Linked DNA regions of Saccharomyces cerevisiae S288C. The protein of the gene in region 2 interacts with the protein of the main gene of each other region in a biochemical or structural test. Each region holds a gene or a part of one and is shown on either strand. Other genes may lie near its edges.

Region 1 (4,091 bases), on a different chromosome or scaffold from region 2:
TAATCAACTTTTAATTTACAATATATAATATTTTTAGTCTGTAATATTCAATATTCAAAGACACCCAAACATTCATTGCACTTGGTATTTACCAAAAAATTGAAGAGAAAATTTTTGAGATGACCATGGATGAGGCAATGAAAGTCGAAATTTGATCCCCGCTACTAACTTCTAAACATATCGTCAGGACAATTGAGCTGAAAATGTCTAATCCAGATGATTTAGATGATGGACTCGCCTATGATTTTGATGCCGAACATGAAGTAATTTTTGACGCCAAGGATGGTAGTCCCCCAACCAAAAAGGTACAAAAGAGGTCTATAGAACAAGATGACGATGACGTTGATGATATAGATGGGAAAAAAGAGGAGAGAAATTCAGAAGATGATTCGAATAGACCTATTTCGAAAAGACAGAAAAAGCTACAGAAAAAATCAAAGCTAATTGAGAAAAAGAAAGAGGAAAGCCAGTATATCGTCTCACAACGAAAAGCACTTCCAGCAAGTTCACCAGAAAAAATTATTGAGTACCTAACAACTTTGATACGAGAAAAAAATCCTGACTTGAGTGTTTTAGAATTAGAGGAACTTTACTTCAAAAGAAATGATTTTCTTTCGACAGAAAAATTTGACGCTGAACGCAGATTAAGCAATTTCCCAGCCTTTATTCAAAAATTTTCCGTAGCTCCAAAAAAAATTGTTTTTTCTATGTCTAATATTAGAGTAGCAGACGTTTATCGTAGTCTAAACGGTGGCAAAAATTGCGTCAAATTATTCTCTAAAAGTAAACTAAAGGATGACATAGCCACCGTGGAACGTTTACTTACTGACAGCTCTAAAAAATCAAACAAAAATAAAGATTCACTATATTTTATTGCCACTCCAACAAGAATGCAGAAAATTATAGAAGCTACTGACTTACTTTTCCAAGGTAAGGAAAAGTTAGATATCATTCTTGATGCAAGTTATTTAGATCCTAAGGATAATACTATATTATCATTCGAGAATGCAGCCGTCCTCTGCCAAGTCTTGAAAACCTTTTTGAATAAAAAAAGCTCCGTGAAAATACTGTTATATTAATAATAGCGCTTTTTCACTGAGGTTCTACACATAAGATTACGTTTTTAAATACCAGCCTTAATTTAGTATATTAAATATTTCATTCTAGCATTTGATGGGGTACTTCAAATTATCTTCTTTAAATTGTCCAAAGCCCTTCCAAAAAGTAAAATCAAAGGAGAAACTTCGAGAACGCCTAGGCGCGCAGCAAACTCCATATATAACAATGTATTTTTTCTTTAACTACATAAAACCAATTTATCCTATTTTACTCTTTCCATGGAGTGTATGCTTTTTTGTAGTTACTTAGATTCAGAAATTCAATGTCTTCCCTCATTTTCTTCACCGTAGAGTAGACCATGGGACGTCGTTTTACTTTAGTTTTTGAATTTTTTCAGCGATGCCCGAAAACTGAAAATTTTATCTCATCTCATTCACCTGCCTGCCATATATAGTATTTTCATGGTATAAACTTGGCATTTTATGTCTTCAATCATAAGAGTATAATTCCGGGATAAAAGCTGGAGATATCATAGTAATAATGGCTAAGAGAAATAGATCTCAATTTCGCATTCAGGAAAGGACTGCAAAGAAAAGAAAGCACGAAGATTCCTTGTTAGAAGGCAATGTTTTCCAAAATGCACCGGAAGATATGGATGAAAATACCATATATAGCGCAAAAGGCTCATCCTGGGATGAAGAAGAACAGGATTACGAAATGGTTCCTCGGAAGAATCGGTCTGATACATCAAATCTTGTTGAAGGCCTGCCTATAAAAGTTAACGGTAAAGTTGAAAGAAAATTGCATAAAGCCCAAGAAAAACCAAAGGACGATGATGAGGAAGACGAAGACTCTAATGACTCTTCAGAAGATGATGAGGGACCTAATGAAGAACAAGAAGCAGAGGCAAAGGAGGATGAGCCTGATACGGAGGAAAAAATTCTGCAACTAAAAGAAGACATTGCCGATTTAGTCACTAAAGTTATGGAGGAGCCTGAAGAAAATACTGCTGCGTTGGGGCGTCTATGTAAAATGGTGGAATCTAAAAATCCTAATACTTGTAAGTTTTCCATGTTGGCTTTGGTCCCCGTGTTTAAGAGTATCATACCAGGCTATAGAATTCGACCACTAACTGAAACTGAAAAGAAGGAAAAAGTTTCTAAAGAAGTCTCCAAGCTTAGAAACTTTGAGCAAGCCTTAGTTTATAACTACAAAAATTACGTCGGAAGATTACAGAGTCTTTCAAAAACTCCCAGTAATGCTGCTCCTATACAGGTTTCATTAGGGATTTTGGCCACTCAAGCCGCAAAAGAATTGATTTCAACGGCATCCCATTTCAACTTTAGAACAGACATTTTCACTTTACTGTTGCGTAGAATTTGTAAACCAAGAATTTCAACAGATCCAACTTCCATTCAAATAATCCAGACATTTGAAACTCTATTAAATGAGGACGAAGAGGGCTCAATATCATTCGAGATACTAAGAATTTTCAACAAAATACTAAAGACGAGGAACTTCAACATCGAAGAATCTGTTTTAAATATGTTATTATCGTTAGATGTCTTACATGACTATGACCCTAATACTAAATTGAAAGGTAACGTTAGCGCTCCTAAGCTCAAAAAGAAAGATAGGGTCCATCTTTCTAAGAAGCAAAGAAAAGCTCGAAAAGAGATGCAACAAATTGAGGAAGAAATGCGTAACGCTGAGCAAGCTGTTTCTGCGGAGGAAAGAGAAAGAAACCAATCCGAAATTCTAAAAATCGTTTTCACTATATATTTGAATATCTTGAAAAACAATGCAAAAACACTCATTGGATCGGTTTTGGAAGGTCTAACGAAGTTTGGTAATATGGCCAACTTTGATCTATTAGGGGACTTCCTCGAAGTAATGAAAGAACTTATTAGTGACACTGAATTCGATAACCTTTCCTCTGCTGAGGTCCGTAAGGCTTTGCTTTGTATCGTTAGTGCATTCTCACTTATTTCAAATACACAATATATGAAAGTTAATGTGGATTTGTCCAAATTCGTCGATGGGCTTTACGCGCTATTACCTTATATCTGTCTTGATGCAGACATCGAATTATCTTATAGATCGCTAAGGTTGGCTGACCCACTCAATAACGAAATAATAAAACCATCAGTTAACGTTTCTACCAAAGCAGAACTTCTGCTAAAGGCTCTGGACCATGTATTTTTCCGCTCTAAATCAGGGACTAAAGAAAGGGCTACGGCGTTTACCAAAAGATTGTACATGTGCATCAGCCATACCCCAGAAAAAACAAGTATTGCCATTCTTAAATTTATTGATAAATTAATGAATAGATATCCAGAAATTTCAGGCCTTTACTCTTCCGAGGATAGAATAGGCAACGGTCATTTCATAATGGAAGCCGATAATCCTTCAAGGAGTAACCCAGAGGCAGCAACCTTATGGGATAATGCTCTTCTTGAAAAGCATTATTGTCCTGTAGTTACAAAGGGGCTACGCTCTCTATCATCTAGATCTAAAGAGTGTTCTAAATAGCTAGATCCTATATATTAAGTATATAAAGAGCCACGATTATCGTTAGCCAATCATTTTTGCCGTGTCGAGTAGAATTGTATAAATATTAGCATTGTATGAAATTTGAATGAATTACCGCAAAAGTATTATACGTAAGCAATAGAAACAAATATCAGATTCAAGTTCACCAAATCAATATTAACAGCTTACTATATTGTCTTTTTTTATGGAAGAACATTACCGTGAAAACCCGGTAGGAGAATTTTGTTCGGTCGGACTTCCCCATTAGGCGTATATTAAGGGCCTAGAAAATAAGACAAAACGGCTTCTTATCTAAGCTGCTGTGAGTGACAGCATGTATTAACTGAATCAAACGGAGCCCTTTGATGAACATGGCAATCCAAACAATTAAATACATTTTTTGGCTACTGCCGATATTAGGGCTTACACAAGCACTTCTACAAAACCCAGGGGACGATTTTCCATTTAGCACAGTAATAGATATCCTCTCAGAAAATGTT
Region 2 (8,551 bases):
GGTCCAGCCAGTGGTTCTTCATTGGACCACAAACATTTGCAAATTCTGCAAATGCCTGAAAAGTTCGTCACTTTCCAAGATAGACTATGTAATGGTAAAGAACATTTCCTACCAACTTTCAATACTGAACCTTTGCAAGATGCTAAAGTCTCGTTCGCTCATTTTGTCTTGCCAATGCCGGAGTCTGAAGAAACTGTTGATGAAGACCTATTAGCTATGTGTTACATCTCCATATTGCAAAGAGCTTTGACCTTTTTCCAGGACTGGTTGAACGAAAATCCAGAACTAAAGAAATCCTACAATCTTATGTTAACCAAGGAATGGATCTGTGTCGTTCCACGCTCGAAGGCCTTTTCTGATGAAATGAAGATAGGTTTCAACTCCACAGGTTATTGTGGTATGATCTTAACCAAAAATGATGAAGTTTTCTCCAAGATTACTGAAAAACCTGAATTGATTAACGATATCTTATTGGAATGTGGTTTCCCAAACACTTCTGGTCAAAAACCAAACGAATACAACTATTGAGTCCTTCACAAGTACAAGTATACACGTATACATGTATGTATATATATGTATTTAAATGATAGAAGTAATTTCTATATGTATATGTCTATTCAATTTTTATTTCTGATGACTTTGAAATTTTATATTTATTATTCTACACTTTATTATTAAAACTACATGCAATCAATGCCGTTAAGGTTACGATTCACCTTTTTATTACTTATTATTAATATTGTTGTATTACTTCCTTGAAAAAATATGTCTAAAGAGTCCTAATTTGGATTTTCTTTTCCTCCTAACTTCACTGTCCTGCGCCTGCTTTCCTAACGCATCATCGCTAATACACCAGCTTTCATTGCTTGTTGCTGCGCTGTTGCTCGCATGGAACGTTTTCAGTGCGTCATCATCCTGGGATAAACTAAAGACTAAGTCACCAGTTTCATTTGAGGCTTTTCTCTGCGCGTTGACAAAAGAGGACAGATCAACCATATCACCTGGTTCACCCATGAGAATGTCCTTACTTAGTTGCGAATTGGTTCTGATCTGCCCTTCAGACTTGGAATATTCATTACTGTCATTACTTTTAAGCCTATTCATTTCTTCCTTGCCATCAGGCGTACAGGATTTGACCACAGAGTGTTGAAGGGGTGCATCGTCCGCTCTCGTAATAACCCCTCCGATACTATTTTCATTGTTGACACCGTTGACTGAAAAGGGCATGGACTGTGCATTAATGTTTTCATTTTTCATCATATCATCATATGGCATTTCATAATGTTGACTCTTGTAGTTGAAGATTGAGTTTATCGTGTTACTGTTTCGTCTACCTTTCATATTATCAATCAGGTTGCGGTGTTGCATGTGGGAGATAGGACTGCCCGATCTTCTTCTTCTCGATTCTCCACTAAAATCCTGTCTTTTATCGCTATCCAGCACACGATTAAGCTGTGAATTGCCGCACTTTTTAGGATAACCATCCTTGGCATATCTAGGGTTATCTTTTAGTGGAAAATTATCACTTTCTAAGTTAATGTCCGCATTGCTGTCATAAAAGGATACTGGTGTTGCGGGAGTAGATGCTAGTTTAGAAGGGGTATAGGCCAGGGAAGAAGGTGTCATTGCCTGATTGATTGTCATTGAAGCAGCCGACCTTTGTTCTTTTGGAGATTGCGAGTCACAGCCTACGGTCAAAGGTAGCTGCTTCGTATAATGATAATATCTTTGCTTTTGGCCTTTGATCTTCAACGAATTGAATGTGTTGGAATTCCGTGCATTGGCGTTTTGCATCCCATGGTTGTGATGGGTCGGTGACCCATTGAGAGCTGAATCATCTACATCAATGGCCTGTTCAGATACACAAAGGGAAGGCCGCAGTGGGGATAATAGTGCTGTTGGAAGCTTTTGCTCATAATATTCATTTTTCGATTCTGGTTCAATTAAGGAGTCCTCTTCTTCTTTAATCATAGAGTTAGAACCGGCTGCACAATTGCCCTTATCTACCATAACCTCCAAATCAGGAGGAGCGGATTCAGATCTTCTATGTGATTTAAATGACCTAGGCCTTGTCTTCAACGCATCGTCAAGGTTAATAATGGCATCTGGGACGCCTTTAACTGGCGATGAAAAACTTGGCTCTTCACTAATGAAAAATCGTGGACTTGGTGTTTGCAGATTGTTCTTTGGTGATAACGGATAAAATCTTGGTTCAGGCAAATCTAACGTTCCAGCGTCTTCATTGGTTTTGCAAGGAAATCTATTGTAGCGTATTGGCGATAATGTACTTGATACAGCAGTTGGGGCAGTTGAAGGACAATTTTCAGCCGCCTGTGGAGGTGGTAAATTCACAATTGCTGCAGGCTGTTTCAAAAAATCAAAATCTCCTGATATTGCTAGCGATCTGCGATGGCGGTGACCTCTTTTGGATGGTGTAGACAAAGTATTTACAGGATTTGGCTCTGATATTTGCACATGTTGAGTATGCGTATTGGGCATTTTCCTATTCTGAGAAGGAGTATGAAATAATTGCCGAGGGTTCAGAATGCTCTTTTAGAAATAAAAATGAATGTAAATAGTTGGAATGTATCTTTAAGTAGACAAATGCAGGTAAGTTTTAGTGGCCTTTGCGGATTAACAGTATGCTCTTAGTGCAAAACACGAAAAGAGCTCCCAATCTTTGAACACAATCGACCACGGAGGAACAATACACGTAGAAGGGGATAACTAAAACTTTGTCGTGCAAGAGTATTGGAGGACACACTAACAGCAGAACTTTGCCTTCTTAACTCTTGTTTATGATTGCTTGAAGTATTACACATGTAATAAAAGATGATTATTTTTTTTTTCCTAAAAAAAGTTCCTTTCTTTGAAGATCCCCCTGATAAAAAAGATCAAATAATGGAAACGCTAATCATAATCAAATCGGGAGGAGAATAAACGCAAGAAGTGTGCGTTTCTAGCTGAGTAATGGTGACAAGACATAGAGTGACTGTACTCTACAATGCCCCTGAGGATATCGGTAATCATATGCGCCAAAATGACACTCATTTGACTGTTCGTGGAGGTTCTGGTGTGGTTTTACAACAAAGGTGGCTATTAGAGAGGACTGGAAGCTTGGATAAATCCTTTACGAGAATCACTTGGAGGCCCAGAGCGGACTTGGCTAGAAGTTTAAGCGTTATAGAAAATGAACTGAGTGCTGGCTTTTCAGTTTACTCAAATTCTTCGGATGTGCCGGAAAGGTTTATTACTAACCCAGTCTACAATTCATTTCACAGTGAGAAGTTTGACATAGAGCAGTACTTGCCTCCCGAAGTAGATTTGAATCTGTCATGGAATCCAGAAGATTTTACATATGATATATCAGTGGAGCCCACACAAATCCAAATTGTTGAATATCGTCTGTTGAAACAGGGTGAAGAATTTACAATTGCAAGAGTGAAAGATGAGAAACTCGAAGTAGGTGTATTCTTTGTGGATGCAAGTGATGAAAGTGATGTCGATATTGGTGGAATACGTTGTAATTGGAGGATGGACGATGGTAAAATGGAAAGATGTCAGAAAACATCCTTATTGTATAAACAGGGCCATATCGCATACAATCACTCGACGACTACGACATCACTATATCTGAATGAACCTATCGGTTTGCATCCAAAAATCATGATTGATCTCACAGATTTCGAAGAACGCCCTAAATGCATGTATCTAATGCACCTGCAATTGCCGTTAGAATTATTTATCGATAAATTCCAATCCTCTCCCTTACTACTTTTTGGAGAAGACGACTTAGAATTACCAGAATACTCTCTTCGAGATAAGGCATGGGGTTCTGAAAGTATCTTTGAATTGAAAGCCGGCACAATGAATGAAGTGACATTGCATACTAGATATATTGAGCCTTCTAATAATAAAGGGGATAAATTAGAAGTTTCATTTGATCCAGAAGTTATATTAGCCTGCGACACAGGTGACAATAAAGTTTCCCGTAATCCATTTTATAAAAAAGGTCTAGGATATGAATCTCTCTTTACAGACGATACTACATTCCGCCATTTGAACTCGACAACTCTTCTAGTACCAATTCCAAGGCCTGACACAAAGGATTATTCCAAGATCAAAAATGGTACGTTACTATGCTTACTCATCTCCATCATATACATTTTCTCCAAGGTATTTGGTAACAACAAGAAGAAAAGATCAGTAAAACGGGAATAAAAATTGTTCTACTGTGCACTCGTATTTTCTGAATTCAAAACGATAGGTTTCCTATAAGTTTTTTGATGATAATTTGATTAATTCTATGTATACATAATATATCTATTGCTTTCTTTTCCTTTATTTTCAATATTATACAAGGGAATGGAAAAATAATGCTCTTTGTTACTACTTTTTCTTGTGATGCTTCTTTGCGATACGTCTTAGGGCTCTTTGTTCATTCTTCATGACACCATCAACCATCTTATACTTACCCTTAACGCCCTTTGGTCTACCTGCCAAACCTTTGTTCCTACCTGAGGCAACAACCAAAGTAACCTTTGGCTTGGTCTTTGGTTTTTTGGTAACCTTACGCATCAATCTAGAAATTTCTTCAGCCTTGTCCTTCTCTGTCTTGTCTGAATCATCGTTAATCAAGCCCGCCTTCTTCTTGATCTTTTCTAACCGAGCTACGGCACGCATCCTCTTTCTTGCCTTAGCTTCAGCAACCTTCTTAATAGGACGGGCGTTCATTGCCTTTATTTTTTCTTTAATTGCCATCGCTGCCTCCTTAGTAATCGGCTTATTTATCTTTGAATGTTCCTTTTCATCTTCTAAAAACCAATCTGGCAAATTTTCGGTGTCACGGAAGGTGTATCTATTGAAACCTTCATCAACAAGATCATGCTTGTTTTTCTGACCCAATGCTAACTGATGTGCCAAAGTCATGGCTTCAACAGTAGCAATATCAATGTCTCTGGAATGCTTTTCTTTCTTTGTTTGATTTTTTTCTTCCTCTGAATCATAATCAGAATCGAATTCTTCTGATGCATTATCGTTGGCCACAATTTCGAAATCGGAGTCATCACTTGAACTCTCATCCGAAGAATCTGCTTCATCTTGTTTCTGGTGCATTTCTTCATGTTTTCTTTTCTTATTTAATTTAGAAATATCACCAACAGACTCGGAACTCATTATGCCATCATTGACGGTATTTACTGGCAAATCAGGTTCAACGTTATTAAATATCGGATCATTGAAAATCATACGTGCCTTACTACTCAATTTGTGATCACCTTCTTGTCCCTTCAATTTGCTAATCAAATTGGTGATGGCTTCATCATCATCGGAGTCTCCTTCGACACCTTCATCGTCATTGTCTTCGATATAATCTTTACCTTCCTCTTCTTTCTTTTCTAGACTTCCCTCATTAAAACCGGTCCATTCTTCCTCATTATCGCCACCACGTGCTTGCTTAGCTCTAAACTTGGCATCCCTTTCCGACCTTCTAGTTTTATAATCACTATACATGGCATTCAACTCGCTTTCTAAATCGTCCGCATCAGCGGCAGAATCCTTATCTTTGATCATGATGTTTTCATCAATGTAAATATCATTATCTTTGGCTAATTCATCGTCTGTAAAAATCATTCTTTTCTTACCCTTCGCCAAGTCGTTCAAGATACCAGTCTTTTCTGCAGTTTTCAAATTAAACAACGATTCTTTACCCAAACTTGCGGCTTCAATACCAATATCAGTGGGGGTTATCATGTTCATTTGCATTCTCTGTAGTTCCTTTTGCTTCATTTCGTTCTTCCTTCTTCTTTCGCGCTTGACATTTAGACGCTGCTTCTCCTGTAAACCTTGCAAATCTTTTTCAATTTGCTCCTCTTCTGTTAACGGTACTACTTCAATTTCTGTTTTAGCGTCGTCCTTAACTTCGATGCCCAAGATTTCCCTTGCAATCTTTCTCCATCTTAGGATCATTTTAAAATCCTTTTTACCCAAGACTTTTAAATCTTCAATACAGGAACGGAACTCGTCTGTGGTTTGTTTCAATTTCTTCAAGATCTTCCATTCATGGTCATTCTCATCAATTGTAAACTTATTCATTTCTCCAAGCATGCTTATTGGGTCTTCCGTCCTGACAAAATCCAAAATTGAGGTTTCATGATACAGTAAATTATCACCTTCCTCATAACCTTGTCTTTTTCTAACTTTTTTTTCGGGATTATAAATCTTGGACTCCATATTCTGTTGCCCATCTGGCAATTCTTCAAAAACTTCTTTTGGATCCAGTAATCTTGGGTCCAGCCTCTTTGGTGCCTTGAAACCTTTACACACTACAAAAATTTCTGCAGAAACATTTCTTGATGCGGGTGGTTTTGTGGCTTCAACTTTCTCAAACAATTGTTGGAAAACCCAAATCAATTTATTATAATCCTTGGATCTGAAAATTTTAGTAACAAAAGTACCGTTCACCACCAAATTTTCGACGGCCAACTTCAAAGCTTGTAAGGTTAATTGAGATTGGGTGAAAGCATCCTGAACCCAACCCAAACCAACATTAGGAGCACCATCATGCAACACTGTATCAGCTTTCCAAGTCTTCATATAACCCCTCAATTTTGATCTACAATCTTCTGTTGTAATATCACTTTGAAAAGTTATAACATTGGGCATCGGCTTCATTGGAACAATATCAACACCAATAATTAAGGAGTTGACAGGACAGAGTTTGGATGCAACTTGACACCATGAACCAGGAGCAGCACACAGATCAATAACAACCTTCGATTTTTCTAAGAAGTGGCCATACTTTTCATTAATCTGAATAATCTTAAAGGATGAACGAGCACGATAACCTTTCTCCTTTGCTAGATAATAGTATCTATCTAAACGTCCCTTACTATTCTTCTTTTGTGTCTTACCCATTTTTGCCAATCACCTCTATTGAGTTAAATCTAACTACAAACTGAAGCAGAATGAGTATTGAAAGAATCTAAACTTAAACTAACTACTATACTATTATTGCCAATTTTTCATAATGGGCATCGCAAAAAATTTTTCAGACAAAAAGAAACAAGCTGGGTAACCCGCTTTTGCGGTTTTAGTATACTGGAGGAGATTAAAATTAGACAAAAGAATAATAACGTAAGGTGAAAAATGTTTAAACTCAATAGTGTGAGGTTTACGTGGCTATATATACGCAATATATACACTTTAATCCAAATTATCCCTCCCACCTGCTTGCTACTCTTTTGAGATTTATCTTAACGAGCTAAACAGACAGACTTCGGAAGTTCAAGCTGTCCAGAACTCCTTTATAGAGCCAAAAAAAGTAATGCTTTCGATTATTTCTGGTTCTAGAAATTTTTCAATACCCTTTAGTAGTCTTCTTTGCGCCGGATTGCTGGACAAATAGAATTTCTTCTTGACTTAACTATAAAAACAAAAATCTTCTGTCGTATCATAGCTACATGCTGTAGTTTTCGATTAAATACATGCTGCAGTTTTCGATTAAATGCTAATTTTTGTATCCAATATATAGCTATTCATCAATTGAAATATTCATTTTATAAGTAAGATTGAAAAAAAAAAAGAAAACCACAAAGAGGAGCAGAAACGTGGCAATCTAAAGAAAAAAAAGCACCATCTTGCAAACACTAGCACATTTGATAATCATAGAGAACAAAAATAATTCAAAGGTGTGCTTGTAAGTCTTTAAACGCGCCTTTTTCTTTATTTGTCGAGAATCGTGTAAATTTCCCAATACAGTAATTACACGATCCACGCTGTCCCAAAAAAGTTCAAAAAATTTTTCGTGCTTTTCCTTTATTGAAAATCATTTAGTCCAGTTTCATTCTGTGTTCTGTGTTTCTTCGACTTTGAGATTTCTATTGAAGTAGTTATTTATTTACAAAATTTATTGTATTTACACTTATTATAAATTTTCTGTCATCTCGACTTAGTACACCTGGCGCTGGTTGTTATTGGCAATATAATAGACAATATTATCTCATCAATACAACAAATTAAACTCCAGAAGTCACATAAAGTATACAATTAGTCTTGAAGCATCTGATTTTGAAATCTTTTTGGTATCAATTAACGTGCCGGAATACTGTTTGCACGAAGGAATCAAAGATAGGTACTGTGTGCGTCAACAGAACTTAAGCACTAGTGATTTATATTAAAAAAACCAAACAATTAGAACAATTAATTAACAGTGACTTTGAAATTCAGAACTATATTTACGTCGTCTGCAATTAGAATTAAAAGGAAATCAAAAATTCAGATACAAAGTTCATGGCATCTGCTTTGACATATTTGTTATAATTGTGTAAAAGGGCACAGTCAATGAGTAGTAGATAGTAAAGCCTAAATAATTATATGTAGCAATTGCTTCTCTTGAAATTGGGTATCATGGGTGAAAAATTATTGTGCATTTATAGCAAACCTATTAAACAGATCAATGTTTTAGTGAAAATTATGTCACTGGACAATACAAATCTTTGGAAACCGTCCCTAGAATTTGGAATTGGATAATTTAACTCTTTAGAATATAACA

The links.
Region 1: the proteins of SPB1 (region 2) and NOC3 are reported together in a solved structure, tested with the Saccharomyces cerevisiae proteins (one study listed by BioGRID).

Annotation. Positions count from the first base shown.
Region 1 is NC_001144.5:153,843-157,933, reverse strand, and holds NOC3 (Noc3p), read left to right. Parts: upstream 1-1,599; coding exon 1,600-3,591; downstream 3,592-4,091. Other genes in the region: CMS1 (Cms1p), read left to right, coding at 204-1,079; YLR001C (uncharacterized protein), read left to right, coding at 3,957-4,091. UniProt on the Saccharomyces cerevisiae protein: Required for synthesis of 60S ribosomal subunits and the transport of pre-ribosomes from the nucleoplasm to the cytoplasm. Also required for initiation of DNA replication.
Region 2 is NC_001135.5:29,813-38,363, reverse strand, and holds SPB1 (27S pre-rRNA (guanosine2922-2'-O)-methyltransferase), read right to left. Parts: upstream 6,916-8,551; coding exon 4,390-6,915; downstream 1-4,389. Other genes in the region: APA1 (bifunctional AP-4-A phosphorylase/ADP sulfurylase), read left to right, coding at 1-528; LRE1 (Lre1p), read right to left, coding at 748-2,499; PBN1 (Pbn1p), read left to right, coding at 2,971-4,221; RDT1 (Rdt1p), read right to left, coding at 7,368-7,454. UniProt on the Saccharomyces cerevisiae protein: Required for proper assembly of pre-ribosomal particles during the biogenesis of the 60S ribosomal subunit. Specifically methylates the guanosine in position 2922 of the 25S rRNA at the stage of 27S pre-rRNA maturation.